2 separate regions of the Mus musculus genome follow, and region 1 is reported to be linked to region 2. The links are microRNA targets in miRTarBase. Many come from high-throughput screens and were not tested one by one. Region 2 holds a microRNA gene; the other region holds the end of a gene's coding sequence. Distances are from middle to middle.
Evidence for each region. Region 2 holds the annotated microRNA mmu-miR-490-3p (CAACCUGGAGGACUCCAUGCUG, at 3,115-3,136, shown strand). A microRNA usually pairs through its seed, bases 2 to 8, with sites in the 3' UTR of a target mRNA and lowers its output. Matches are read on the target gene's strand: a 7mer-m8 pairs with bases 2 to 8, a 7mer-A1 pairs with bases 2 to 7 and ends in A, and an 8mer does both.

Region 1: the mRNA of Nanog is a reported target of mmu-miR-490-3p. Seed matches in the 3' UTR shown: 7mer-m8 at 6,487-6,493.

Annotation. Positions count from the first base shown.
Region 1 is chr6:122,707,107-122,724,443 of GRCm38, forward strand. Nanog (Nanog homeobox) reads left to right here and starts at 459. Exons shown (of 4, transcript NM_028016.3): 1 at 459-827; 2 at 4,432-4,697; 3 at 5,523-5,609; 4 at 6,036-7,527. The coding sequence starts at 677. The coding sequence ends at 6,449. RefSeq lists promoters at 1-673, 155-536, 199-604, 267-493, 409-599, cis regulatory regions at 252-257, 343-350 and an enhancer at 295-332.
Region 2 is chr6:36,418,686-36,430,327 of GRCm38, forward strand. It overlaps Mir490 (microRNA 490), which reads left to right and starts at 3,057; the gene lies at 3,057-3,140. All of the region lies in intron 2 of Chrm2 (cholinergic receptor, muscarinic 2, cardiac), which reads left to right.

The DNA.
Region 1 (17,337 bases), 86 Mb from region 2:
TTCCCAATGTGAAGAGCAAGCAAGAAACGCTGAGTGCTGAAAGGAAAGCCGTGTATAAACAGAGACTTTGGCAGCAAGGTCTGACTCTTTCATGTCTGTAGAAAGAATGGAAGAGGAAACTCAGATCCCCCACTTGACCTGAAACTTCCCACTAGAGATCGCCAGGGTCTGGAGGTGCAGCCGTGGTTAAAAGATGAATAAAGTGAAATGAGGTAAAGCCTCTTTTTGGGGGGGGGGGATGTCTTTAGATCAGAGGATGCCCCCTAAGCTTTCCCTCCCTCCCAGTCTGGGTCACCTTACAGCTTCTTTTGCATTACAATGTCCATGGTGGACCCTGCAGGTGGGATTAACTGTGAATTCACAGGGCTGGTGGGGCGTGGGTGCCGCCTGGGTGCCTGGGAGAATAGGGGGTGGGTAGGGTAGGAGGCTTGAGGGGGGAGGAGCAGGACCTACCCTTTAAATCTATCGCCTTGAGCCGTTGGCCTTCAGATAGGCTGATTTGGTTGGTGTCTTGCTCTTTCTGTGGGAAGGCTGCGGCTCACTTCCTTCTGACTTCTTGATAATTTTGCATTAGACATTTAACTCTTCTTTCTATGATCTTTCCTTCTAGACACTGAGTTTTTTGGTTGTTGCCTAAAACCTTTTCAGAAATCCCTTCCCTCGCCATCACACTGACATGAGTGTGGGTCTTCCTGGTCCCCACAGTTTGCCTAGTTCTGAGGAAGCATCGAATTCTGGGAACGCCTCATCAATGCCTGCAGTTTTTCATCCCGAGAACTATTCTTGCTTACAAGGGTCTGCTACTGAGATGCTCTGCACAGAGGCTGGTAAGGAATTCAGTCCCCGAAGAACCCAGTAAATTAGGGTAAGAGTAGAAAAAACGGGCTGAAGGGTTATTGCTTCTTTATGAACCGTAGTAGTCATTAACATAAGCGGGTGTCCTTATCACTCTTCTGGAAACCCCTCTGAGTTTGACCGGTGATACGTTGGCCTTCTAGTCTGAAATAGAGATCCGGGACACAGGACGGAGCAATATAAGGCTCTTGTGTGTATTTGAGAACCTAAATATTTGGGCTCTTTGGAATATGTTCGGGGGCAGTGAGTGGTGTCTTCAGTAGCAGGGAGACCTAACATCCTAGCTTGGAATGAGCACCCCATTTTTTTGGTGAGGTTATACAGTTAGTTTGCAATTTGCCCAAATGGCCGTTTTCTCCAGCAGAAGCAGTTAGCATTTCTCTCAACCTTTGGGAATATGGATGTCACTTAGCAGTTCTGGGTTTGTGAGCTCAGTGCTCCTTCCAAACCCCAAACAAGTGTACACAGTTTAAGTCATTCATTCTTATAGCTAGCATCTGGAGCCAAGGTCTGAAGCTCATTGTCTGTACAGAGTCAGCCCAGTACTCAGGCTTGTAAATGGTAGAACCAAGAGGCTGCTAGGCTGTGTGTGCCACGGTGCTCAGGTGCGTGTTGTGATGCTCGGGTGTGTGCAGCGATGCTCGGGTGTGTGCAGTGATGCTCGGGTGTGTGCAGCGGTGCTTGGGTGTGTGGAGCGCTAGGAAGTGTGTGTCCCCTTTTTTCTGAGCTTTTAAGTTAATGTCTGTCATCTTGATTTTTCTGATTTATGGGTTCAATTTTTGATTTTTTTTTTGTTTGTTTTTTTTTGTTTTTTCGAGACAGGGTTTCTCTGTGTAGCCCTGGCTGTCCTGGAACTCACTTTGTAGACCAGGCTGGCCTCAAACTCAGAAATCCGCCTGCCTCTGCCTCTGCCTCCCTCAATTTTTGATTTTGGAGGTGGGAAAAGTGCTGGGTTAGGAATGAACGGGTGGGGATAGCCTTTGTAAGTGATGTGTGTTTTTAGAGCATGTGTGTAGAGCATGTGTGTTTGTAGTGCGTGCCCCTAGTGCCAGCAGATGGCATAATTTTCCATTTAGAAGCTGCTTTCAGGGCTGTCTACTTATTTGCTAGACTGCAGGCTAACCTCAGCATTGCCATCAGCGTGGAGCACAGATGTCTTCAGTGTAGGAGGTGTCTTCTACCTGCTGCTGGATCTAGGAAATGTTGGGGCAAAGCTTGGTGGAGGAGCACTTGTCTCTTGCTGAAGGCCCTGGAAAAAAACAAAAAAGCTAACCGAAGAGCTAGAGGGTCAAGGATAAGAGAAACGAATTTGGTTAACCGAAATTTTACTCTAGTAATTAATAATTAACTGGACCCTCTGACTGGCTGCTCTTGTACTAGCAGAAAAGATGGTGGGATATTTTTATTTATTTATTTTTTTAAAGATTTATTTATTATATGTAAGTACACTGTAGTTGTCTTCAGACACTCCAGAAGAGGGCGTCAGATCTTGTTACAGATGGTTGTGAGCCACCATATGGTTGCTGGGATTTGAACTCCAGACCTTCGGAAGAGCAGTTGGGTGCTCTTACCCACTGAGCCGTTGGATGCTCTTACCCACTGAGCCATCTCACCAGCCCCAGTGGGATCATTTTAAAATATACCTTTAAAAAAAAATTGGGGGTGGGGGGTGTCTAAACTCAGGACTGTGCATTCCTAACAACAAGTGATTTAACCCTGGAAATTTCCTTAGATAACATTCAGTATAATGGATTTCGTCATGACATTTTTTGTTCATAAATATTAGTTCATCCCTAAATGTTAATGTGTGTGTGTGTGTGTGTGTGTGTATGTATGTATGTATGTATGTATGTATATATGTATGTATGTATAGATATAGCTGACTCAGTGGTAGTAGAGTATGAAAGGTCCCAACAGGATTCTATTCACCCAGCACCATGCAAAAATCTAGGCGAGATAAAAGTCCCCCCAAACCTGAGTCTTTGGATAAACCTCCACTCAGAAGGTAGAGAGGTAGGACCCAGAGAGCAGGCCAGCCTTGGCTACCTGAGACCCTATCCCTTAGAAAGAAAAGAAAACCACAAACATAGACTAGATCCTCTGCTGCCTAAGCTCTTGTGCTGTCTTGTCTGTCTGTCTCTATTTGTTGAGACGGGCTGATCTCAAATTCTCCCATCTCAGCTACTGGAGCAGGGGGGCTTTAGATTTGTGCTACCCACTGTCAGGATCAGAGGTTTACAGTGTAGATGCGGTCACGGTTCTAATGAAGAGGGAGCAGGGAGAAGGGATTGGAAAGAGCAGACTACAAACTCAAACCTGTCTTCATCCTGCCATTGAACTGAGTATTGTTTGGTTAGTTGTCTTTTTTTTTTTTTAAATAGGATTCCCAGGGTCTAATTGTATAATTTAAATAACTAATGAAACTTAAAAACACTGTATGTAGGGCTGGTGAGATGGCTCAACAGGTAAAAGCACTGACTGCCCTTCCCAAAGTCCTGAGTTCAAATCCCAGCAACCACATGGTGGCTCACAACCATCCGTAATGAGATCTGATGCCCTCTTCTGGTGTGTCTGAAGACAGCTACAGTGTACTTACATATAATAATAAATAAATATTTAGCAGAGACATTCTTTTTTTTTTTTAATTAATTAATCCCATGTGGTTGCTGGGAATTGAACTCAGGACCTTCGGAAGAGCAGTCTGCACTCTTAACCTTAACCGCTGAGCCATCTCTCCAGCCCCCTAAGTAGAAACATTCTTAAAAAAAAAAAAAAAAAAAAAAAAAACACTATAAAAGGGAGATCTATGCAAAATGGTGTTACCCAGGGGTGACAAAGTATTCCAAGAATACTTTCCAAAAATTAGGTTTTTCTTGTTACTTAGATCTATGAAGATAATTGCTTTGAAAGTAAATATAGCCGGGCGTTTAATCCCAGCACTTGGGAGGCAGAGGCAGGCGCATTTCTGAGTTCGAGGCCAGCCTGGTCTACAAAGTGAGCTCCAGGACAGCCAGGGCTATACAGAGAAACCCTGTCTCGAAAAAACCAAAAAAAAAGAAAAAAAAAAAAAAAAAAGAAAGAAAGAAAGAAAGAAAGAAAGAAAGAAAGAAAGAAAGAAAGTAAGTAAATATATTAAATGTAACATTTAATTATCTGGGAAAATGATTTATTTGTTTGGTTGGTTTTGTTTTTGTTTTTTTGGTCAGGGTTTCTCTGTGTAGCCCTGGCCATCCTGGAATTTACTTTGTAAAACTGACTGGCCTTTTTAAAATTTATTTATTATATGTAAGTACACTGTAGCTGTCTTCAGACACACCAGAAGAGGGCATCAGATCTCATTACGGATGGTTGTGAGCCACCATGTGGTTGCTGGGATTTGAACTCAGGACCTTCGGAAGAGCAGTCAGTGCTCTTAACCGCTGAGCCATAACCCCCACCCCACCCCGTGAACTGACTGGACTTAAACCCATAATCTGCCTGCTTGAGTGTCCCAAGTGCTGGGACTAAAGGTATGTACCACCATGCCAGGCTGAGAATGTCTTATTTATTAACAAGTTATCTATTTATTTCTAACAGCCTCTCCTCGCCCTTCCTCTGAAGACCTGCCTCTTCAAGGCAGCCCTGATTCTTCTACCAGTCCCAAACAAAAGCTCTCAAGTCCTGAGGCTGACAAGGGCCCTGAGGAGGAGGAGAACAAGGTCCTTGCCAGGAAGCAGAAGATGCGGACTGTGTTCTCTCAGGCCCAGCTGTGTGCACTCAAGGACAGGTTTCAGAAGCAGAAGTACCTCAGCCTCCAGCAGATGCAAGAACTCTCCTCCATTCTGAACCTGAGCTATAAGCAGGTGGGGTCCTTAGAAGTTGCTGTAATGTAACACAATGAGACTGACTTGCTAATGAATCGAACTAACGTCTGGACGTCTCTCTAACTATCCTATCCTCCTATCCTATGCGCCTGTTAAAATCATAATTATGTGATTGATTGATTGATTGATTATGTATAAGTACACTATAGCTGTCTTCAGATACACCAGAAGAGGGCATCAGATCTCATTACGGATGGTTGTGAGCCACCATGTGGTTGCTGGGATTTGAACTCAGGACCTTCGGAAGAGCAGTCAGTGCTCTTAACCGCTGAGCCATCTCTCCAGCCCCAATTATGTGATTTATATATTTCCCAGTTTGTTTCATTGGTTACTTTATCTTCTACTTCACCTCCCACACCCATCCCCAAATCAGGGTCTCACTGTAGCCCTGACTGGTCTCTGTAGACCAGGCTGGGAGAGGTTCACCTGCCTCTGTCTCCTGGGTGCTGGAAATAAAGGTGTGCCTGGCTTTTTTCCTTTCTTTTCTTTTTTAAGATTGTTTATTTTTAAATTCCTTTAGTTCATTGGTGTTTTGCCTGCATGTGTTTGTCTTTGTGAGAGTATCAGATCTCCTGGACTAGAGTTACAGACAGTCGTGAGCTGCCATGTGGCCGCTGAGAATTGAACCCAGGTCCTCTGGAAGAGCAGCCAGTGCTCTTAACAGAAGAGCCATTTCCCCCAGCACCTGTCTTTTTCAAGAAAGAGTTTCACTTTACAGGCCTGGCTGTCATGTTTAAGGTCGGGCTGTAGACCTGTCTGCATTCTGTATGTCTTAGCTTGTTCGAATGTCCTGTCACTCTGCAGGTTAAGACCTGGTTTCAAAACCAAAGGATGAAGTGCAAGCGGTGGCAGAAAAACCAGTGGTTGAAGACTAGCAATGGTCTGATTCAGGTAACAAGATGTTTTCTCTGCTTTCCTTTTTCCCCCTCCATCTTACCATCTTATTTTATGTGTCTGTGCCGTGTGTGTGTGTGTGTGTGTGTGTGTGGCTGACCTATGGCTGTTGGGTATGGATCCCAGATTTCCTGTAAGAGCAGTCAGTGGCTCTGCCTTTGCTTCCCAGTGTCATCCTGATCCATCTATGTCCATTAGTCCTGTCCCTTTCCCATCCCTCTTCCTCCACGCACTCTTTCTTGTGATCTTTGGTTCTTTGAGGCAGGCTCTCTCTATGTAGCCCTGGCAGTCAGAGATCTGCCTGCCTAGTCTCAGGAGTGCTGGGGTTAACGGCCTGTGCGGCCATGCTAATCTTTTCAGTATTTCTGCAGTTTACATCTTTAGAGTCCCCTTTTCACTCATTGCATTAATCACCTCTTTCAGAAGGGCTCAGCACCAGTGGAGTATCCCAGCATCCATTGCAGCTATCCCCAGGGCTATCTGGTGAACGCATCTGGAAGCCTTTCCATGTGGGGCAGCCAGACTTGGACCAACCCAACTTGGAGCAGCCAGACCTGGACCAACCCAACTTGGAACAACCAGACCTGGACCAACCCAACTTGGAGCAGCCAGGCCTGGACCGCTCAGTCCTGGAACGGCCAGCCTTGGAATGCTGCTCCGCTCCATAACTTCGGGGAGGACTTTCTGCAGCCTTACGTACAGTTGCAGCAAAACTTCTCTGCCAGTGATTTGGAGGTGAATTTGGAAGCCACTAGGGAAAGCCATGCGCATTTTAGCACCCCACAAGCCTTGGAATTATTCCTGAACTACTCTGTGACTCCACCAGGTGAAATATGAGACTTACGCAACATCTGGGCTTAAAGTCAGGGCAAAGCCAGGTTCCTTCCTTCTTCCAAATATTTTCATATTTTTTTTAAAGATTTATTTATTCATTATATGTAAGTACACTGTAGCTGTCTTCAGACACTCCAGAAGAGGGCGTCAGATCTTGTTACGTATGGTTGTGAGCCACCATGTGGTTGCTGGGATTTGAACTCCTGACCTTCGGAAGAGCAGTCGGGTGCTCTTATCCACTGAGCCATCTCACCAGCCCCTGGTTTATTTTTTTAATTATTATTTGCTTTTTGTTTATCAAGACAGGGTTTCTCTGCATAGCTCTAATTGTCTTTGAACTAGCTCTGCAGACCAGCCTGGCCTTGAACTCAGAGATCTGCCCACTTATCTTTGCCTCCTGAATGCTGGGACCAAAGGTGGCATACCACCACACCTGGCATATATATTGTTTATTTCTATTTCTATTTTTATTGGTGCCAGAGCAAACCTAGGACTTAGAACATGCTGGGCACCAACTCAACTTCTGAGCTCTATTTACAACTTGGTGTGTTAGTGTATTTGTCTTAGTTCTGAATTTGTCCTTTTTTTAGTGTTAACTCTAGGCTTTGGAGACAGTGAGGTGCATATACTCTCTCCTTCCCAAGAATAAGTGCTTGAACACCCTTACCCACGCCCACCCACCCATGCTAGTCTTTTTTCTTAGAAGCGTGGGTCTTGGTATACACTGTGTCATTTTGAGGGGTGAGGTTTAAAAGTATATACAAAGTATAACGATATGGTGGCTACTCTCGAGGATGAGACAGAAGGACCAGGAGTTTGAGGGTAGCTCAGATATGCAATAAGTTCAAGGCCAACCTGTACTATGTTTAAATAGTAAGACAGCATCTCGATAAAATAATAAAACTAAAGTCTCAACAAAATAAAAGCTTTCACCTATTAAGGTGCTTGCTTGTCCTTGGAGTCCCCCAAGAGTAACTGCTATGTTAATATCTGTAGAAAGATGTTTATATTTGACTGTACCATGATGAACCGATGCCAGCTGGACTAGTTTAAACAAAATAAAACACTAATTTTACCTTTAGTGGTCTTATCTTTTGTCCAGTGGGGTCAATATACTTTTTATTTTGGTATGTGAAGGGGAGGGTCTTAACCGAGGGTCCAGGAAAATGGGTTTCTTTTGGCTTAACCGGTTGGGAGGGTTATACCACAACAGTTGGAATGGCCTGGTAACCAGAGCAGGAGGCCAGCCACTCACAATGCATCCAGTCAAGAACTGGAGAGCAATGAATAAGAAATGAATGTTTTAGTGTGGGTATGGGCCCTGAGGAGGCCAGAAGCATTCGATGATCCCCTGGAGATGAAGTTACGTGAAGCCACCTGATCACCTGATGTGGCAGGCTGCAGGGAAATAAGCTCTAGTTCTCTGGAAGAACAAATATTTAACTGGGAGAGTGGTTTTTATTCCTGTGAAATAATAGAACTTGTGGAGAGAGCCCCTGAGGTCACACACCTAGTGCTTCTGGGAAAGAGGAGGGACCACAGTCTCTTGTTTTTGTGTCACACTGGAGATTAATCTGGGACTTCCTGGCTCCAGATGGAGGCTATCTTCCCTGAGCATAACCCCCTAACCTACGTGGGGGTGGGGGAAGATGTCAAGTGTTATCACAGGAGACTTGAGAGGCTGTGTGGGTTCAGAAGTGAGTTTGGGGTTTTGGAGACGATTTAAATTTGCTGAAAAGACAGAAGATACGTATACATCTGGTGTAGTTGTGTGTACACTTAAGGAGATTAAGTTAACGTAACTCCTGATGCATTAATTATAGATGTTATAGTAGTTGTATACAGTAGATTTAGCTAAAGCATGATACGGAAAAACACAGAAGAAGCAAGCGACACCTAGTAACTGCCGTGCGTAAATAGCCATACCTGTCAATCACATCTTTAACTCCTGACCACTCACAGGGGTACCCAGCCCAGCCCAAGTAGGTTCTGTAGCTGCTCCTCAGCTAAGGAGAGGGCTGTTTTGGCAGTGAGAAAAATTGTCCCTCATTGTGCCACAGAGGCTAGGACACATTCCCTTGCAAAGCCCAGACTAATTCCACCTAGAATTCTCCTCTTCTGCTTTCTGTCCTTTGGCATCAGTGGGGATGGCTGCTGTGTCAGAGATGGGACATCATCACCTCCACAAACCCTGACGACCGTTACTGAGAGACCACTTTGCTTCAACTCTTAGAGGTTTCGTTGATAAGATTCTAAAATGTGTGGTCTTGGGGATCAAATCCAGGGACTCTTAGACCCTGGGTAAGTGCTCTACTACTGAACAACACTCAGTCCTTGGTGTGAGAATCCGAGCTTTGATTTTACCCTTTTTAGGGTGGAAGAGATTCCACCAATCACCCAGGAGTGGGGCTAGTTCAAGAGGCCTCCCCAGCTGCAGCTTTCAGAGGCTTTTTGCTTCAGGCTCCCACCAAGGGACCTATTCAAATGCCTTAGTCAACTGACATCTGAGTCCCAAGCTGTTGCAGGACCCCAGCTGACTTCTTTATTTAACAAATCCTCCTTTTTCCCCTGCTCGGGCTCCTCTCCCTCCTCTGTCTGGCAACTGTCCGCTTTCTCTTTGTAGTTCCCCACCAGGACCTGTTTTCTCTCCACTGTCACCAGGTTTTCTGCCGACTGGGTTTATTCACAACAGAATTAACCTTTTCCTTTACCCAGAGAAGCCAGCCCTTGGAATTCAATGGCAGAGAAGGTCTGTGCTTCTGAGCTTGTAGTTTGCACTGTCCAATTCCGAAGACCCAGGCAAATTTGATCCAGGGTGCTCCGTGTTAGACCTGAGGAAGAAACCAATTCCAAGACTGCCTGATTAAAGCAGGTTTTACTTAGAGGAACAGCAGGAACTGGCCAGCCCATGCACATGAGTAAAACAAGCTTGGTTGGATTAATTTGGCCACGATGGTTTGCGTTAGTGGTCTTCCTTCTCCCAACTTTGGGATTGACATTTGCTCCCTTGGGTTCAAAAAGAAAAGGACAATAAAAACCAGAAAATCGCCCGGCGTGGTAACGCACGCCTTTAATCCCAGCCAGCACTTGGGAGGCAGAGGCAAGCAGATTTCTGAGTTCGAGGCCAGCCTGGTCTACAAAGTGAGTTCCAGGACAGCCAGGGCTATACAGAGAAATCCTTTCTCAGAAAAACAAAACAAAACAAAACAAAACAAAACAAAAACAAAAACAAAAAACAGAAAATCAAGGTAGATTTAACTTTGTATACTCAGACATAAACTGGAGTAACACCCTTCTTTTGGGATGAGAGACAGAGAAAGCAAGAGTTTCTAAGGAAAGAAAAGTGGGGAAAGACAGGCTGGCTTGTGGATGAGTTTTCATTTCAGTTTCTCTCTTATCAGGTTAACTTGATGCTCAGCCAGTCTATGGGGGAGGGAGGGATGAATCCTTCAGTTGGATTCACACCTTTCCTCTTTCTTTCTTTCTTTCTTTCTTTCTTTCTTTCTTTCTTTCTTTCTTTCTTTCTTTCTTTCTTTCTTTTTTTCTTTTTCATGACTGTGTCAAGCTCTGAAGGTGACTTATTATCGTAAATTAAAAATAAATAATTTGGGGCTGGTGAGATGGCTCAGTGGGTAAGAGCACCCAACTGTTCTTCCGAAGGTCCTGAGTTCAAATCCCAGCAACCACATGGTGGCTCACAACCATCTGTAACAAGATCTGACGCCCTCTTCTGGAGTGTCTGAAGACAGCTACAGTGTACTTACATATAATAAATAAATAAATCTTTAAAAAAAATAAATAATTTAGGGGCTGGAGGAATGGCTCAGCAGTTAAAAGCACCCTCTGCTCTTCCAGAGGAATTGCGCTCAGTCCCCTGCAGCCAGGGCAGTTGGCTTCACACCCCTTGTAACTCTGGGTCCAGGGGTTGCTGTGCCTCTCTGGCTTGCTTAGGCACCTGTACACATCTACATGTAACCGATACTCAAACAACTAACACACACACACACACACACACACACACACACACACACACACACACACACACACATACAGTTAATTGCTAAATAACATAAATTACAGGAAAAACTACCTACAAAAAAATGGTGGTAAACACAGGCTTTGGAGTGTCTTTGAAGCTCACTAAATATTTTTATTTTCCTAATAAACCATCTCCAGCTGTATCACTAAAAAGGGTAGCTGGGGCTTAGGGGGAGATAGTAACAGAGTAAAAGAGTGATTCTCTCTCTCTCTCTTTCACAATTTATTTATTTATTAAAGATTTTATTTATTTATTATATGTAAGTACACTGTAGCTGTCTTCAGATCTCATTACAGGTGGTTGTGAGCCCCCATGTGGTTTCTGGGAATTGAACTCAGGACCTTAGGAAAAGCAGTCAGTGCTCTTAACCACTGAGCCATCTCCTGATTGTCTCTTTTAATTTTGTGTAATATTTTATAGCTTTTGTTGCTTTAAGCTGAGAAAAACAGAAAAGGAAGGAAGAAAGAAAGAAAGAAAGAAAGAAAGAAAGAAAGAAAGAAAGAAAGAAAGAAAGAAAGACCTTAATCTTTGGACAGGCATCGTAGCAGCATCTGTAGTCCCAGTAGTCCCAGCGCTAAGGAGACAGAAGCAGGTAAGCAAATGCCAGTGAGTTCAAGGCCTACCTGCTCTGTATAGTGAATTTCAGGCTAACCAAGGCTGCATGGTGAGATACTGCCTCAAAAACAACAACAATAAAACCCAAGACTGGGCCCACAAGATGCCTCAGTGGGTAGAAGGGCTTGCCACAAGCCTAGCTTGTTGGCTTGCATCCAATCTCTTGGGTCCACAAGATGGACAGAGAGGAAACACTCCACAGACCTGCCCTCTGACCTCTGCACACAGGCCATAGCATACACCTCTCCCTGACTTCCCAAAGTAAATAAATGCAATCACAGGCTGGAGAGATGGCTCAGCAGATAAGAGCACTAACTGCTCTTCTGAAGGTCCTGAGTTCAAATTCCAGCAACTACATGGTGGCTCACAACCATCCGTAATGAGATCTGATGCCCTCTTCTGGGGTGTCTGAAGACAGTTACAGTGTACTTACATATAATAATAAATAAATCTTTACAAAAAAATGTAATCACTAACAGAAACTCCTCAAATACAGCAACCATCATTAATCAATGTCCTGATTAGCTACCTGGATTTCCTCTTTTCTCCTTGTTATTTTCGTTGCTTTTGTCTCTCCTGGACCTCATTGTGTAGACTAGGCTGGCCTTAAACTCACAGAGATATGCCAGCCTCTGCCTGTCTAGTGCTGGGATTAAAGGCCTATTCCAAGGCCACCTAAAGTGTCTGTTAAATCAACCATGGATAGATTAAGAGAAGTATGATTGAGTCTAACGTTTAGTTTTTCTCTCTCTCTTTTTTTTTTTTTTTTTAGGATTTGCCTAAATAAATTAATTTAATTAAAGTAAACAAACTCCCCACAAAACTGGCTGAGCTTAGGCTGGGCCTGGTGCACATTTTCATGGGAACAAAATAATGAATGATTAAATTCTTGGACTTTAGATACTGTCTTGCTTTTTAAAAAATATTTACATCATCATTATTATTATCATTACTGTGTGTGTATATGTGAATGCCATCTGTATAGAGGCAACATCAGATCTCTGGAGCTGGATTTGTAAGTGTTTGTGAGCCAATGGACTTGGGTGCTGAGAACTGAACTTGGACCCCTCTACAAGAATCCTCTTGGACTCTGTAGACCAGGCTGCCCTCGAACTCACAGAGATCTTCCTGCCTCTGCTTCCTGAGTGCTAAGATTAGAGGCTTACACTATGAAACCTGGTTGACCTGGGGTCTTTGTAAGCCCACACTCATTCTCAGTGGGCGTGGGCATCACTCTCTCCTGAGCAAATCTGTCCCTTAACCCACAGGCTTTATGCTTATGTTAAAATATCTTAGATGTTGGGTGGTGTTGGCTCATGCCTTTAATCCCAGTACTTGGGAGATAGACATAGGCTTGAGGCCAGCCTGTTCTACAAAGTGAGTTCCAGGACAGCCAGGGTTACACAGAGAAACCCTGTCTTGAAAACCAAACCAAACCAAACCAACCAACCAACCAAACAAACAAACAAAAATTTATTTCTGGGCATGTGGTGACACATGCTTTTAAACCCAGCACTTATAGGAACCTGAGGCAGGAGAATCTCAGGCCATACAGGCCTCCATAGTGAGACCTTGTCTTAAAACAAAATAAACAACAACAAGATATTATCATTAAATGCCGATGTACTTCAAAGAGAAAAGTAATGGGGCCTCATTATATTCCCTTGGTTGGTCCTTTATGTCTGAGCTCAAGGGAGCCTTCTGGCTCAGTCCTTCCAGTAGCCAAGACTACAGGTGTTAGCCACTGTCCTTGGCTTACATGAACAGTTTTAAAGGTGAAATTAACTTAAGTTCCTATTGCACAATTGGGTCTGGAACCCAGGGCCCCACATATGCTCTCTCGCCCCTGAAACTATACCTCCAATCCTGAAATCTGGATCCTAAACCAGACTAGACTGTCTGGCTTTGGGCAGAGCCACAGAAGGAATCTTAAACTTACTGGAGGATAGCAGCTCCCCCTACCGGTCCCCTGTGGCATTGGACTCACCAGTCTCTAAATTGTCTTCCAGTTTAACTTCATGGCTGATAAGAGGAGGAGAGATACCCACAAATTCCTCAACTACATGTGGTTTCAGGTGGCAATCAGTGACAAGGGTGGGCTAGGAAGACATACTTGGTGAACTAAAGGGTCTTCTCAAGACTCAGATAGAGCTCAAAGAGGAGAAAGGGATGAAAAGCTTAACAGAAAAAGAATCACAGCTGGGCGTGGTGGCGCACGCCTTTAATCCCAGCACTCAGGAGGTAGAGGCAGGTTCTGAGTTCGAGGCCAGCCTGGTTTACAAAATGAGTCCCAGGACAGGCAGAGCTATACAGAGAAACCCTGTCTCAAAAATAAAAGAATCAGGGGCTGGCGAGATGGCTCAGAGGGTAAGAGCACTGACTGCTCCTCCAAAGGTCCTGAGTTCAAATCCCAGCAACCACATGGTGGCTTACAACCATCTGTAATGAGATCTGACGCCCTCTTCTGGTGTGTCTGAAGCCAGCTACAGTGTACTTACATATAATAATAAATAAATCTTTAAAAAAAATCAGCGTGACTCTAACTAAGGAAGTGAAAGATCTGTATGATAAAATCTCTGAAGAAAGAAATTAAAGAAGATCTCAGAAGATGGAAAGATCTCCCATGCTCATAGATTGGCAGGATCAACATTGTAAAAATGGCTATCTTGCCAAAAGCAATCTACAGATTCAATGCAATCCCCATCAAAATTCCAAATCAATTCTTCAACGATTAGAAGGAGCAATTTGCAAATTCATCTGGAATAACAAAAAACCTAGGATAGCAAAAACTCTTCTCAAGGATAAAAGAACCTCTGGTGGAATCACCATGTCTGACCTAAAGCTTTACTAAAGAGCAATTGTGATAAAAACTGCATGGTACTGGTATAGAGACAGACAAGTAGACCAATGGAATAGAATTGAAGACCCAGAAATGAACCCACACACCTATGGTCACTTGATCTTCGACAAGGGAGCTAAAACCATCCAGTGGAAGAAAGACAGCATTTTCTTTTTTTTTTTTTTTTTGGTCTTTCTTTTTTTTTTTTTTTTTTTTTTTAAACAACATTTTTTTTAGATTTATTTATTTATTATAAGTAAGTACACTGTAGCTGTCTTCAGACACTCCAGAAGAGGGCGTCAGATCTCGTTACGGATGGTTGTGAGCCACCATGTGGTTGCTGGGATTTGAACTTCGGACCTTCGGAAGAGCAGTCGGGTGCTCTTACCCACTGAGCCATCTCACCAGCCCAGAAAGACAGCATTTTCAACAATTGGTGCTGGCACAACTGGTTGTTATCATGTAGAAGAATGCGAATCGATCCATACTTATCTCTTTGTACTAAGGTCAAATCTAAGTGGATCAAGGAACTTCACATAAAACCAGAGACACTGAAACTTATAGAGGAGAAAGTGGGGAAAAGCCTTGAAGATATGGGCACAGGGGAAAAATTCCTGAACAGAACAGCAATGGCTTGTGCTGTAAGATCGAGAATTGACAAATGGGACCTAATGAAACTCCAAAGTTTCTGCAAGGCAAAAGACACCGTCATTAAGACAAAAAGACCACCAACAGATTGGGAAAGGATCTTTACCTATCCTAAATCAGATAGGGGACTAATATCCAACATATATAAAGAACTCAAGAAGGTGGACTTCAGAAAATCAAATAACCCCATTAAAAAATGGGGCTCAGAACTGAACAAAGAATTCTCACCTGAGGAATACCGAATGGCAGAGAAGCACCTGAAAAAATGTTCAACATCCTTAATCATCAGGGAAATGCAAATCAAAACAACCCTGAGATTCCACCTCACACCAGTCAGAATGGCTAAGATCAAAAATTCAGGTGACAGCAGATGCTGGCGTGGATGTGGAGAAAGAGGAACACTCCTCCATTGTTGGTGGGATTGCAGGCTTGTACAACCACTCTGGAAATCAGTCTGGCGGTTCCTCAGAAAATTGGACATATTACTACCGGAGGATCCAGCAATACCTCTCCTGGGCATATATCCAGAAGATGCCCCAACTGGTAAGAAGGACACATGCTCCACTATGTTCATAGCAGCCTTATTTATAATAGCCAGAAGCTGGAAAGAACTCAGATGCCCCTCAACAGAGGAATGGATACAGAAAATGTGGTACATCTACACAATGGAGTACTACTCAGCTATTAAAAAGAATGAATTTATGAAATTCCTAGCCAAATGGATGGACCTGGAGGGCATCATCCTCAGTGAGGTAACACACTCACAAAGGAACTCACACAATATGTACTCACTGATAAGTGGATATTAGCCCAAAACCTAGGATACCCAAGATATAAGATACAATTTCCTAAACACATGAAACTCAAGAAAAATGAAAACTGAAGTGTGGACACTATGCCCCTCCTTAGAAGTGGGAACAAAACACCCTTGGAAGGAGTTACAGAGACAAAGTTTGGAGCTGAGATGAAAGGATGGTCCATGTAGAGACTGCCATATCCAAGGATCCACCCCATAATCAGCATCCAAACGCTGACACCATTGCATACACTAGCAAGATTTTATCGAAAGGACCCAGATGTAGCTGTCTCTTGTGAGACTATGCCGGGGCCTAGCAAACACAGAAGTGTATGCTCACAATCAGCTAATGGATGGATCACAGGGCTCCCAATGGAGGAGCTAGAGAAAGTACCCAAGGAGCTAAAGGGATCTGCAACCCTATAGGTGGATCAACATTATGAACTAACCAGTACCCCGGAGCTCTTGACTCTAGCTGCATATGTATCAAAAGATGGCCTAGTCGGCCATCACTGGAAAGAGAGGCCCATTGGACTTGCAAACTTTATATGCCCCAGTACAGGGGAACGCCAGGGCCAAAAAGGGGGAGTGGGTGGGTAGGGGAAGGGGGGTGGGTGGGTATGGGGGACTTTTGGTATAGCATTGGAAATGTAAATGAGCTAAATACCTAATAAAAAATGGAGAAGGAAAAAAAAATCAGTCCTTAAATAAAAAAATCATTTTTATTTTCTGTGTATGAGTATTTTGCCTGCATGCCAGCATGTATGTATGTGTGTATGTATGTATGTATACATATATGTATATGTGTAAAATACATATGTGTGTATATATATGTTATATATATATATACATATAAACATTATATATATATCATATATATAATATACATATGCATACACACATATGATATATAAAATACTGGTCCTGTAACCTGTAAGGCCATTTGGGATATAGAAACAGAAAAATCAAAGGTTCAAAGGTATTCTTTGCTGCATATCTAATTTGAGGCCAACTTGTGATACATAAAATACACACACACACACACACACACACACACACACACACACACGCACACACACATAGAAAAGAAAAGACAAGACAAGAATAATCACTAACGAGACAAAAAGCACTCATTATCCACACACAGCTGAGTCCAGTGGTAAATCTTTTCACTGTGAGGAAATAAGTCACTCATAATGAAAACAGTTCTGATTCAGATATTAAGATAAAAATGCAATTAGCAGCAAAGATGGTTAATGTTTAAGTCCCTTGGGCAAACATCACCTCTTTATAGATGTTAGTGTGACTCTGTTCTTCCGAAGGCTCCTGCTTCTGGATTTATGAGGATATTAGATTTCTTCTGCTGCATGTCTATAATCAGCACAGTTTCCCAGCAACCACTTATAAGAAGGTCCACCTCTCTGCTAAGCACCAGAAGGCTAAACTCCGGAAGCCTTTCTTCTCTTGTGATGATTGATCTTAAAGTAATCCCTGTATGTTTCAGTGTGGGAACAATGTATACTTTTATTTAAAGGGCCGGAGAACTGCCCAAGGTCCTGACTCTCAAACATTGTGCTTTGTTGCATGATGTGATGGCTATTCCTGGTTGCCAGCTTGATTACATCTGGAATGAACCACAATCCAGAAATGGAGGGCACATTACCCAAGTTTTGAAGTAGGAAGTCACAAACCTTTGACGCAGATTTAAAAAAAAAAAAAAAGATTTATTTTTGTATATGAGTACTCTGTCTGCATGTACACCTATGCATCAGAAGAGGTCATCAGATCCTATTATAGATGGTTGTGAGTCACCATACCTTGTTGGGAATTGAATTTAGGAAGTGCTCTTTTCCACTGAGACATCTCTCCAGTCCTGTTTTTTTTTTTTAAACAATCCTTAGATCAATGATGCCATTTAATACCCCCAACTTGGCTTTTTCCTTCTTGCTTTGGC
Region 2 (11,642 bases):
AGCGACATCTGGATGACTTCTATTTCACACCTCTGCATTGGCTTTCCTAGAAGCAAGATCATTTTAGGAAGTGTTAGGAGCCATGTGAGGAAGAGAGAACATAAAACAGGAAAAGGAAGGCAGCTGGAAAGGGGGTTTGTATAAAAGCTGGGTACCTAAGAGGGTGACAGAGTTTAAACCTAGGAGAAATTCTAATACATGGTTTAAAAGATGCTAGCTTCATAATTATCTTACCAAGTGAAGAAATAATTATTATTTGAAAGAATCTGCTCCCAGGGTGATAAATTCCTCCAACATATCTAGTTTTTTATTAGGGGTGGGGACACTGTCCCTCCTAGATTGTATAAAACAGATTGAACTCTGAGCAGTAGCAACTACCATATGGTGTCACTAGGAACCCATGGAGGACCTGAATGATATTGGCTCAAAGGTCTGTAGAAATTGTCAGCTGCAGACCATCTCAGCACAGCAATATTTTATTTTGTATTTTTTTCTTTTGTTTTGTTACCCTGGGAGTTAACCCCTGGGCCTCATGCATGCCAGGGGAGCAAACTATTGCTCATTACAACACGTTGTACTTTAATTAGTGGGTGGATAACAATTCACAAGTTATATAAACAGATACAATATTCCTGATTTATGTATAACAATGTAACTTTCAAATACAAGAACAAAATTTATAAGAACAGTGTTTTTAATTGTTTCTTTCACAAACTAGCGGATTGCCTTTTACGGTGTAAAGTGTGACTCAATAACTCAGTGCCCTTGGAAAGAGAGAAACTGAGAATCCCTCTTTGAAGATCTAGACATAGCTGAAAATCATGCCACATATCTGTTACCTCAGTACTAAGGCAGAAAAAAAATTGCAATTTTGCATGCGTAGTCAAGACCAGATAAGGAGACCCTGTCTCATCTTTTTTGAACTCACAAGGATTTGAATAAATTTAACAATAGCTTCTCTTGTCCTCTGGGTTCTTACAACAGAGATGATATCGTGGGTTTGCACCTGTGTTCAGATGTAAGTGCACTGAAGCACTTCAGGATCACAGACTCTCAAGGACAGGTTTCCATTGTCACTGTGACTTTGCCTTCCAAAATGATTTGAACACAGACCCACTAAATACAATTCAAAAGACAAATAAATAGTGACTTTGTGCAAGATGCACTCAGGCATTTAGCACTTAGCATGTGTGGTCTGTCCTACTGTGAATCAAACAGACCAGCAGCTGCTCAAATAGGCTGTGACAGTGTGATACAGGGATCAATGGCCTTCAGATCTCGCCTGCCCTGTCACCCGGTCCCTGCTGTCATATTTCCTTTATCTTTTACTTGCTATCTTTAGCAACACACAAGTACTTTTCCATTGTTAAAAGAATCCAACTCTCTAGCTTTTACTTAGCTTCATTCATTAAATTTAGTTTACTAATAATTATTACTCCATGCAGCTTCACATGTTTACAAAGAACTTGTATACACTGTGCACTCTATGTGCCACACGGAAAACCGTTTTCATCTTTCCACTTAATACTTGAAGAAATATGGTCTTGGAGACAAAATTACTTGCTGAGATGCAGCTAGTGTTAATTTCTAGCGAATCAATATGTAACTTAAGTCCACATACCCAGAGATAGGAGTGTCCTAATCCATTATGCAATCATACAGAGAAGTGTGGATGGTTCTAACCATTCCACAAATAAAGAGTTCTTTGTCTCTTCAGCCTCCCTTTCTTGGATCATTGGTGTTCTCTCTCTCTCTCTCTCTCTCTCTCTCTCTCTCTCTCTCCCTCCCTCCCTCCCTCCCTCCCTCCCTCCCTCCCTCTCTCTCTCTCTCTCTCTCTCTCTCTCTCTCTCTCTCTCTCTCTGTGTGTGTGTGTGTGTGTGTGTGTCTCCTATCCCATTGAAACCTAGTCTCAGCTCAAATAGAAAACAAACATTTAGCACTTTATATTCATACTATAATATGTATATCATTCTTTAAAACTTTTTAATCTACACCCAGCATTTGCTACCTGTATTCTACTCATCTGTCTGTCTGTCTGTCTACTCATTCAGTTGCCAATTATTAAAATCATCAGAAGCATTGTCAGAATTAAAATTTGATGTAAGTTTCAGAAGAGTTTGGACTTAAAAAGTGAGTTTGGCACCAGTGAAAATTTAATTTGTAATGTTTTTAAAGAATATGTACATTTTATGTTTGTCTTAGTTCTTAGTTGAAAAACTGATATTCATCTATAATTTTATGCATTTAAATATCAGGCCAGAAGGTATATGGATAATAAACATAACCTTCTCTACTCAAAACAGGTGCTCCCCCCCCTCCCACTGCTACCTCCTCCCCCACACCCAAGCCTTGGTCTAGCCTAGGGACTCTGGCTGTATTTGGAGAAACTACTAATGCAGGGCACAGAAGATGCCACTGTACCCTTCTGTGTGTAGTAAACAGATGTGATTGAGGAAGACAGTAGAAGACACCAAAGACCCACCAAATGTGTAGCCCAGTAGCACTAGTTGAAAACACAAGAGTCGTGTTGCTTATTTGGGGTGCCGTTTAGGACAACCTGGAATGAGGACAGGCCACAATTCAATAAGGTTATTGCAAGACGGTGAGGCCACAAGTCTAGGACAGCTTTTCACTTGAACGTAAAGATACCCATGCTCAATTGCTCAGGTATAGACAACAACAGTCAGAGGACTCAGCACTGAAATATGGAGTTTCACTGCAACTTGGAACGTCTCGTAAGCGGTTTGATGCATTTGTTGTATAGCAGCTATACGGAATAAAATGTATACTCTCCAGGTTCTTAGGATATGGCTGACACTACTTGCAAATGTTTACTGGTTCCCTTGATTACTCTACTTTGTTAAAGCAAAAGTGTACATGCCCGGGTTTATTATTTTGGGATAGTCAGAAACTTAGACAACATTCTAGAAATGGAGGGTGATGATAAAAGAGGCAATGATGAGAACGGCTCGGGGATCGATAGGTGCGGGATGCGGGTTCTTCGAGCATCGCTGGTGAAGAGGAACGCTCCACACTTTATGGAAGCCTGGCTGATTTGGAAAGTTCATTGTTCGACACCATGGATCTCCAGGTGGGTCACGTTTAGATATACACCAACCTGGAGGACTCCATGCTGTTGAGCTGTTCACAAGCAGCGGAACTTCTAACTCCATCTCCCAGGAAGTAAACTGGAGGAGTCTTTTGTAGTGTTATGCAATCTCCAACACCAGGGAACCCTGCTATTCATTTTCAGAAATGGAGGCAAAGCTCACATTTCTGCATCAAAACCACGTATTATTTTGTGGAATTGGTTAACCTACTGTCACAAGATAGTCTTTTAGGACACAAGTGTAAAATGGTGATCTTTTCAAAAGCCAGTCAAAACTGAGAAAAGTATAATTACAATCTCAATTGGGAATTTCAATTATGTCTCAAATGAATTCTAGTAATGGTGAGTCTGATACCTAAAGAAGCTATTTTCTAAAACTTAAAGTTATTAAATATCAGAAGATAATGTAGCAGCAAGCTATTTTCTACTAATGAAAAATGGATTTTGTTTCATAATGAATACATATCAATTTTGTATTTCAATATATTTTAGAATGTTTTTCCTGGATGCTTTATAATACAGTAGTTCCCTCTTCTTTGTGTCAAACACAGTCTAAGACAATTCAATGATTCCTAAAACCCCAGATAATATTAAACACTGCTTTCCTATTTATGAATATTAATGGCAAAGTTCAGTCTACAAATAATTGATCCACAACAAAAACTAATAATAAAATAGAATAAGTATAGCATAGTGGCAGACCACATTTAAGAAAAATCCTTACTTAAAAATTGGAAATTATTTCTGGAATTTTTCATTTAATATTTTCAGAAGATGGTTATCTGCAAAGCTTGGAAGTTTTGAAAATGAAACTATGAATGAGTGGGAAATACTGTAATATTCAGTTAGATTAAAACAGTTATCCTGATGCAGTTTCATGAGATTCGCACCTTTCTCTCAACAGTGCGTTGCATTGGGGTTTTCTTTAAGGTAGGTGTCCTATATGATCTTAAGCAACTGATTTTTATGAAATGTTTTAGTCTTACCGCATTCAGATATATCATGTCTGTGGTTTTCTGTTGGGACTGTTATGTTGGTATCATATTGATAAAATACGGTAGCAACAATTGTTGTGATGTTACTTTTAATAAATTGTTGAATTCTACTTGCTGATATTTTGCTAAAGCTTCATGTACAAACTAAGTTAAAGGTTTTTATATTAAATTTTGAGTAATATTAGCCCATACTTCTGTAAAAGTCTCACTGAGTATATGAAATTAATCACTGCCTCCCTCTTAGTAGCATTAGAGAGTTTATACACACTGCAAATGAGCACTGCACTAATGCTCCAATGGCTCTACCTCTGAATGTTTTCATAAACAAGGAGCAACTATTGCCTAGGAATTTTTTACTGTTTGGCTGGGAAGATCACTTAGTCATTAAAGCACTTGCTACCCAAACATGAGAACCTGAGTTTGGGGCCCCAGGACCCACATAAGAGCCAGGTAAATGTAGTGAGTCCCCTGGATTTCAGTCTGAGAAGGCAGACACAGAGATTCCCCAGAGAAAACTGGCAGGTGAGACCTGTCCTGTCAGCAAGCAATTGGTTTGAGAGACCCAGCCTCAAAGAATGAGGTTAAAGAAATATCAAGGAGGATTAGTGATATCATCCTCTGGCTTGCACACCCACACCCATAGGCTCGCATCCCTGTACACGTGTGTCTACATAAGCATATCTATGCACATGAAAAGAAAAAAATTTAAATCTTTTTAGTAGTATCTTCTTAAACAATTTTAATATTAATATTTTATAGATATTTTGGAAGACTATAGATTTTGTGTTGATTATCCATGTAATAAAAACACAATTTTATCAGATAATTATACCCATGATTATACAAATTATTTCCTGAATTGTCTACTTTTCACCCCTCATTTTGTTTTGTTCATCAAATACTGATAAGTTTTTATATGATATAAAATCATAAAAATGCATTACTTTTGCCTTTATTTTTATAAGTGCCTAAAGATATTTATTTCTTAATTTAATTTCATCAGTTGGTAACCACCCCCCTCTCCTTACCTTCCTTTTGTCCTTCCTTCTCCTGACTATCCTCTCCTTCTGTTTTTCTTTGTTTTTAATCTTTATTTCATGGTATTTAGAACATTAGAGCTATGATTTATTTTTTATAGTCTCTGGTCTTATTTAAAACGCAGAGTAGCTAATTAAACTACTTGTTTGCAGTTAAACAGATGATAGTCAGGAGACTACCTCACTACAATTCTTCACCTGCAATTTATAGTGAAATATTTACCTTACAGTTATTTGTGAAGTTAATGCGATAATATACGTGTAGTTATATAGTATGACAACAAAGTCAAACGTTCAACACAAGAAAAACTGCTTTTGTAAATTATAAGAGGGCTTTTGTTTCGGAAAAGTATTTGAACTTTAAAATCTGAAGTTCTTGGATTCTATTACTTCATTCTTTTAAATTTTTTTCTCATGTCAATTATATATTTTTAATTTTTTGCATTTTTTTTCGGAGAATGTACCTTTAAAATGTCTTTCTATTGGAAACTTCCCAAGTTTTCAGGACATAGACCACTGAAAATTGATTTCTTTGTAGAATGATACAGAGTAGCTTGCATATAGATAAACAAGTGTAAAGGCAGGCAAACATCCATGTTTTAATCTCATTCCTAAATCATTATATTATTCATTTCTCTTTCTGTTTGCCTCATGAAAGCCTCCTGATTTCTAGTTGTAGTCTCATTTCTAACACCTATTGTATTTTGGCCAAATATAATCAAATTCTATCTTTTAAAATATATTTTGAATTTGCCCATAGTTAATTATTAATTCTGTTCTCAATCTCATCTAGTCCACATCCCCGTAACATCAGTTTACCCAACAGTCATCTTATTGCCTGTTATGCCTCCCCTTTCAGCAACTCTGATTAATGTGTAAAAATACTTTTAAATTTTTGGGAACGATATGTTTTGATTGTATTTCTTTCCCCTATTTTTAATTTTTTGTTTTCTGGGCATTCTCTTCCTCCCTGAGTTTTTGTGTATTTCTCACTTTATTTTATACTTCCATTTTGAACTTGTCTTGTGATCTATTTCTTCCTCAGTGTCTTCTGCCTCTCTCAAATCAGTGGAGGACATTTACCATTTAAAAGCTCGGTTCCTAATTTTACAACAAAGATCTCTATTGCCTCATTTTATTTTTTGACAGTTATGAAAATGTGCATTGATGAGGTTTTTATTTAGTTTTTATTTCTCTTACACATAGTTTCAGACCTTTGCTAATATAATATGGTAATTTTGTCAAATTTTTACTGATTAACACTTCATTCATTCATTCATTCATTCATTCATGTGTGTAAACACTTGCTTTGATTAGTGTATTTTCCATTAGTTGCGTTGTAGGGCAACACGACTTATCACTCCTTGCCTCACTACTGTGATTACAAGTCTTTCTAGGAAAAAACCCATTTCTAAGTTCTTTCATTGTGACTCAACTTCTGGTAAGTGGTTTTAATACTTAGTTTTATTGAACTTGTTATTTCCTGAGCCAATGCCCATTTTTTGTCTTTAGCTGTCCTTCATATAATATGTCAGGTGACTATAACAATCTTGAGTTCGGTCTCTACCATCATGCCTATAAATATTTTTTTGGGTAGCAGATGGATCCGGATTCAGAAGCCTTAGTGCCTTGACTGACATGGTTCACCCCAAGAGAACATAAGAAGCCATCACTTACCCCACAGGTGCTCTTCTAAAATATCCTTAGCTTTTCACTTGAGCTGATGCTGGGGGCACCGAGAAGAACCAGTTCGAGGTACTCTAGCGTATTCATGAAGTGTTTTTGTTTCTGCATTTCACCCAAGCTCTGTATTCTTATATCTAGGAAAGAATAATTTTTAGCATAAAACTGAAAGTGATCCACTTTGCCTCTTCCAGAACTTTCATTTCTCCTGACTTTAAAAGCATTGTCAGGACCTATGAAAAGGGATACAGACCTCTGCACTCTTGGCCCAGGACTGCACTCCTCCATCTTCTGACTCTCTGTTCTTTCCTTCCATGGTGCTTCATCATCTCTTCTTCAGAATCATTTGTCTGACATCCTTGGCAATGTAGGAAAGGCTTTACCAAGTACCCTGTGAGTTCCCATCAGGTTACTAGCAGGAACGTAGTGAAACAACATTGTAGACGTAAAGCGTAATAAGCATCCAGTTATTCTTACATATGTAAATTATTTGCATTTACTCTTTTACTCAAATCTAAAAGTAAAAATGTATGATGGTACTTTAAGTCACCTGCCTTTTGGGAGACACATGAGCTGAGTCTTGCTAACTTCCAAACAAGCCACTTAGGAGAAGGACTATGCCTAGAATACATAGATGTATGAACTTATCAGAGTAGGGTACCATGGCGAAGGGAGTCACTCACATCTGGAAGGCGAGAAAGGAGAAACAGCTCTTTGATGTCTTTTGTATGTACACAAATATCTCCACACACACAAAGGATATTTAACAATAGCTAAGTCATGTCGAGTGCTTTTTAGCCAAGTTGATGGATTGCTTGCAGATAGGACTAGCAAAGGTGTCTAAGTAGGAGGAAAAGAGGACAGGCTATTTAAGCGATTTGAACAAAGCACAAATATGTCCCTATAATTATTTCACTATAATATCTAAAGTACTATCCAGTGCCTTACACGTAGTGACTTTTTTCTAAGTACTAAGCCGTTATTAATTACCTATTATTTTGATTTGCATAGTAAAATAGCAACATCCCATTGTGTACCTGACCTCGCTGCTTCCTTTTCATGTGAGAGTTCGAATAGAATCCATGTAATTATTGCTGTAATGAGATGATTTCTTTAATGGGATTTTCAATCACCCTTCAGAACTTTAAGGTCCTGATATGAAAGCATCCAGTGCTTTATTGTCTCGTTTAGTACACCTGTCACCATTTTAAGATGTGAGACTCTTTTCATTTCGAAATTCTCAGAATAAAGCCTCCCACATTTACTAAGGTAGGACATGAAAGGAAACATAATTGGAAGTGTGCAGATACTTTCAATTCTTCACATACCGCTCAGACATCATTGCCCTCACCCCTCAGCGACATGCTCAGATCTGGATTCCTTAGTGTTTCTCATCTCTGTGCATTAATGTATCATTGATGATGAGTATTTACTGTTCCTGATTGTAGCATTCTTAGGCTCGGTGGGCTAGTCAAAACTAGGGTGTATGTGTGTGTGTGTGTGTGTGTGTGTGTGTGAGAGAGAGAGAGAGAGACAGAGACAGAGACAGAGACAGAGACAGAGAGAGACAGAGACAGAGACAGAGACAGAGAGACAGAGAGAGAGACAGAGAGAAATAGAATTTGTTTCCAAATTAAGTCATCCAAAAAGCCACTCGATTTTCATTCAAAATGGTGTGTTTTGATTTTACTCATGACTCCATAATCTAGTTTTCACAATATTCTAATTCTGTTCCTGCACAGTAGAACAGATTTTGTGTGGTTTCTGTCACTTCTGGGGAAACCTGTATCTGTTTCTAGTCATTTACATTCCAATAGCCTTTATGTATGAGAAGAAAGAAAAAGCAATGTCTTGCAATGGAGTGATCTTAAGTTACACATTGTAAATTGTTTTACCTCAACTAAGAACTGGATTTCATTAATGCTCTGGATAAAAGTTGCTATCCCATTCCTTAATATATCATAGCCATTGATAAATATATCTAATTTATGTGATGTAATAATGTGCTATTTTCATAACTGATAACATCTTATACATATACTAAAATCCACAAACTATACATACCCATACATGTTTACATACATACATTCCATAAATATAAAATATGTCACTTGCTGCACATTTAGAAGTTGTCTATGTATTTTATAGGTTTATCATTTTATAACTATGATGTCATTATTCTTGATCCATACGTGATGGGATAGGATTGGAAAATGTAGTAAGTAATTTGTTTAAAGTTGTACAACCATTTCCCTTGGGGGCTGACTCACAGTCATGTTCTTCAGCTTCGTGCTGAATGAACTCTGATTTACACTCATCCACAGGCAATATCTTCCCATACACACAGGTTTACAGGAAGAAATAAGTGAGTGGAATAATTGTATTTGGTTGTAAAAATACTTGGCCGTTAGTTGTATAACTTAATGGTATCAAAACACCTCTGTTTAGTACATTATCCCTCTTTCAAAGCCATTGATATAACTTTTTTTTATCATATATCATTTATGCTTATTAGTTATTCTTTAGATTTTTTAAATACAATATAGTCTTATTAATGTATTTTTGAAAAGGTCTGTGGACTCTGACTAGATGAGACTCCACAAATGGTCAAGAGGTGAACTACAAAGATTTTCCATACTTTTAAACATATTGTACCTATATTAACATAGTTTTCCCTGTGAACAATACCTTCCAAAATACAAAGTTATAAAAAAACAGTTGGATAAGGGTGATTTCTTATCTTACTACAGAAATATCTTAGAATGTACAACTTTGTCTTTGCAATATAAATGTGATTAAAACATGAGCCTTAACTTCTACATAATCTTGAGGGAATATTTTTTATAGGAAGAGGAATGAGTTGACACTAAGAATTCAACACTAATTAAAAATTAAGACTAAAAGTTTCTAACTTTTCCTTCAATGATGCTATGCTTTTCTTTAAGCAAGCTGCATTTGCTTAAATGCAAATGGAATTTAACTTCTTAGAGGTTGACTTTTGTCTGCTCTTAAAGTATAGCTGAGTCAACAAATACTGAGTACCTATTAGAGTATTTTTTAGATTCTTTGCTGTAATTCCATCAACTTTGAGAAGTTTCCCAAGTGATTCTCTTACAATGATATTCAAATGCTAGAATTATTTTAATGGCTCCCCTGATAAGTTAGAAATATCCATATTTTTAAGTTAATTTTATTTTTTCAAATCAAATATAGTTGCATCATTTTTTTTCTTTCCACTCATCCCTTCAAACAACCCCCAGGTAGTATTCTCATCTTTGTTCTCTCTTACATCCATGGATCCTTTTTCTTTAGTTGTTGTTACATATATATTCTTAAATATCTAGATATAACCTGCTCAGTCCATGTATTTGTGTGTGTGTGTGTGTGTTATTTCAGGGCAGACAACTAGGACAATCAATTCAGAGTTCTTCCCCAACCATTTCACCCACTTCCAGCATTCCTTAGTTATCTATAGTAATTGGTCTAGGGATGGGACCACCATGATATTTCCCCCTCCGATGTTAACACATCTCCTATTGTTGTCCTTGTTTACATCTTGTTTAGGCTGCCATGTTGTTGAGATTTCATATATACACCTTCCCTGTCATTTCTAGGAAATGCAATCTCACAGAAGACTTCTTGTTCTTCTCCTATAATCTTTTGACCCTCTATTATCTGATATTTTCTGAGCCTCTGGTGTAGGGGTTGTGTTGTAATATAATGTATCCTTTGGTGTATGAGTTCTTCTGTAATGTAATATGTAATTTGGGACTGCTTTATCACACAGTTGCTGGTAATTTAATATATCCACATTAATAAGAAGAAATGTACAAGCATTGTTCACTAATTTTCAATGACACCCAAGAATGTGTTTCATAGAAGAACAAAATAAGATTTTGAGACTACAAATTTGCTCCCTGTCCTGAGCAAACTCTGACCCTTTTTCTTAGTCCATTTCTTTCATAGCACTACAGCCTTATCAGATCTATCACTCTCCTATTTGTGCATGGAAAGGTCGTTTTGTCTCCAGTGAATGGACAGTAGAAATACCTTTGGGCCCAGAATTTCTGATTCTTGGACAACTTATTAGATGTAATATTTTTGCTACACTATTGAAATTTATTATGAAACAGTAACTGAAGCCCATAGTTAATCATTAACACTAATTCTTAAGCTGCTACTTAACTTTAAACAAATGCAATGTTGTTACTTGACAAAATTAAATTATGTTTTAGAATCATCTTCTTGAAATGATGTGATAATATCACCTGTCTTGGGGGGATGTACACTGAGATAATCTTGATAGTTTCCTGTAAGACTTATAACATGTCACAATAAATGATGATGTGTCAATAGAGTTATTTACTTCCTTACATAGATGAGAAATGATGGAGAAATCCCAAAATCTGCTACTCAGAAAATAAATTCATCAAGTCATGTATTTATGTTCATCTACTGACAAATATTTAGCTCAATGAGTGTTCAATATCTACCTAAAGGTGTCTATAATATAAAGCAGATTAGTCTATTAAATTTTATAATAAAGTATTTGAACATGCTCTTTGTGGCTGGCATCTTTCTGATTGAAAAAATTTTAAGATAATAAAATAAATTGTGAGTTATCCCATTTGTTATTGAGGATAGTGGAATCCCAGCTTTATATCAGAAGAAGTTATTCAAGGGAATGCACTTTCTGAAGCAAAAGCGCTTTGGAGATCTCACCAAAGCAAGCTCTGTTTCTTGGAGTCTTGAAAGCACATTTCTTTGGTTGTTATGGAGATACATCTTATCAGCAGATGCCCTGGGCACATGCAGCTG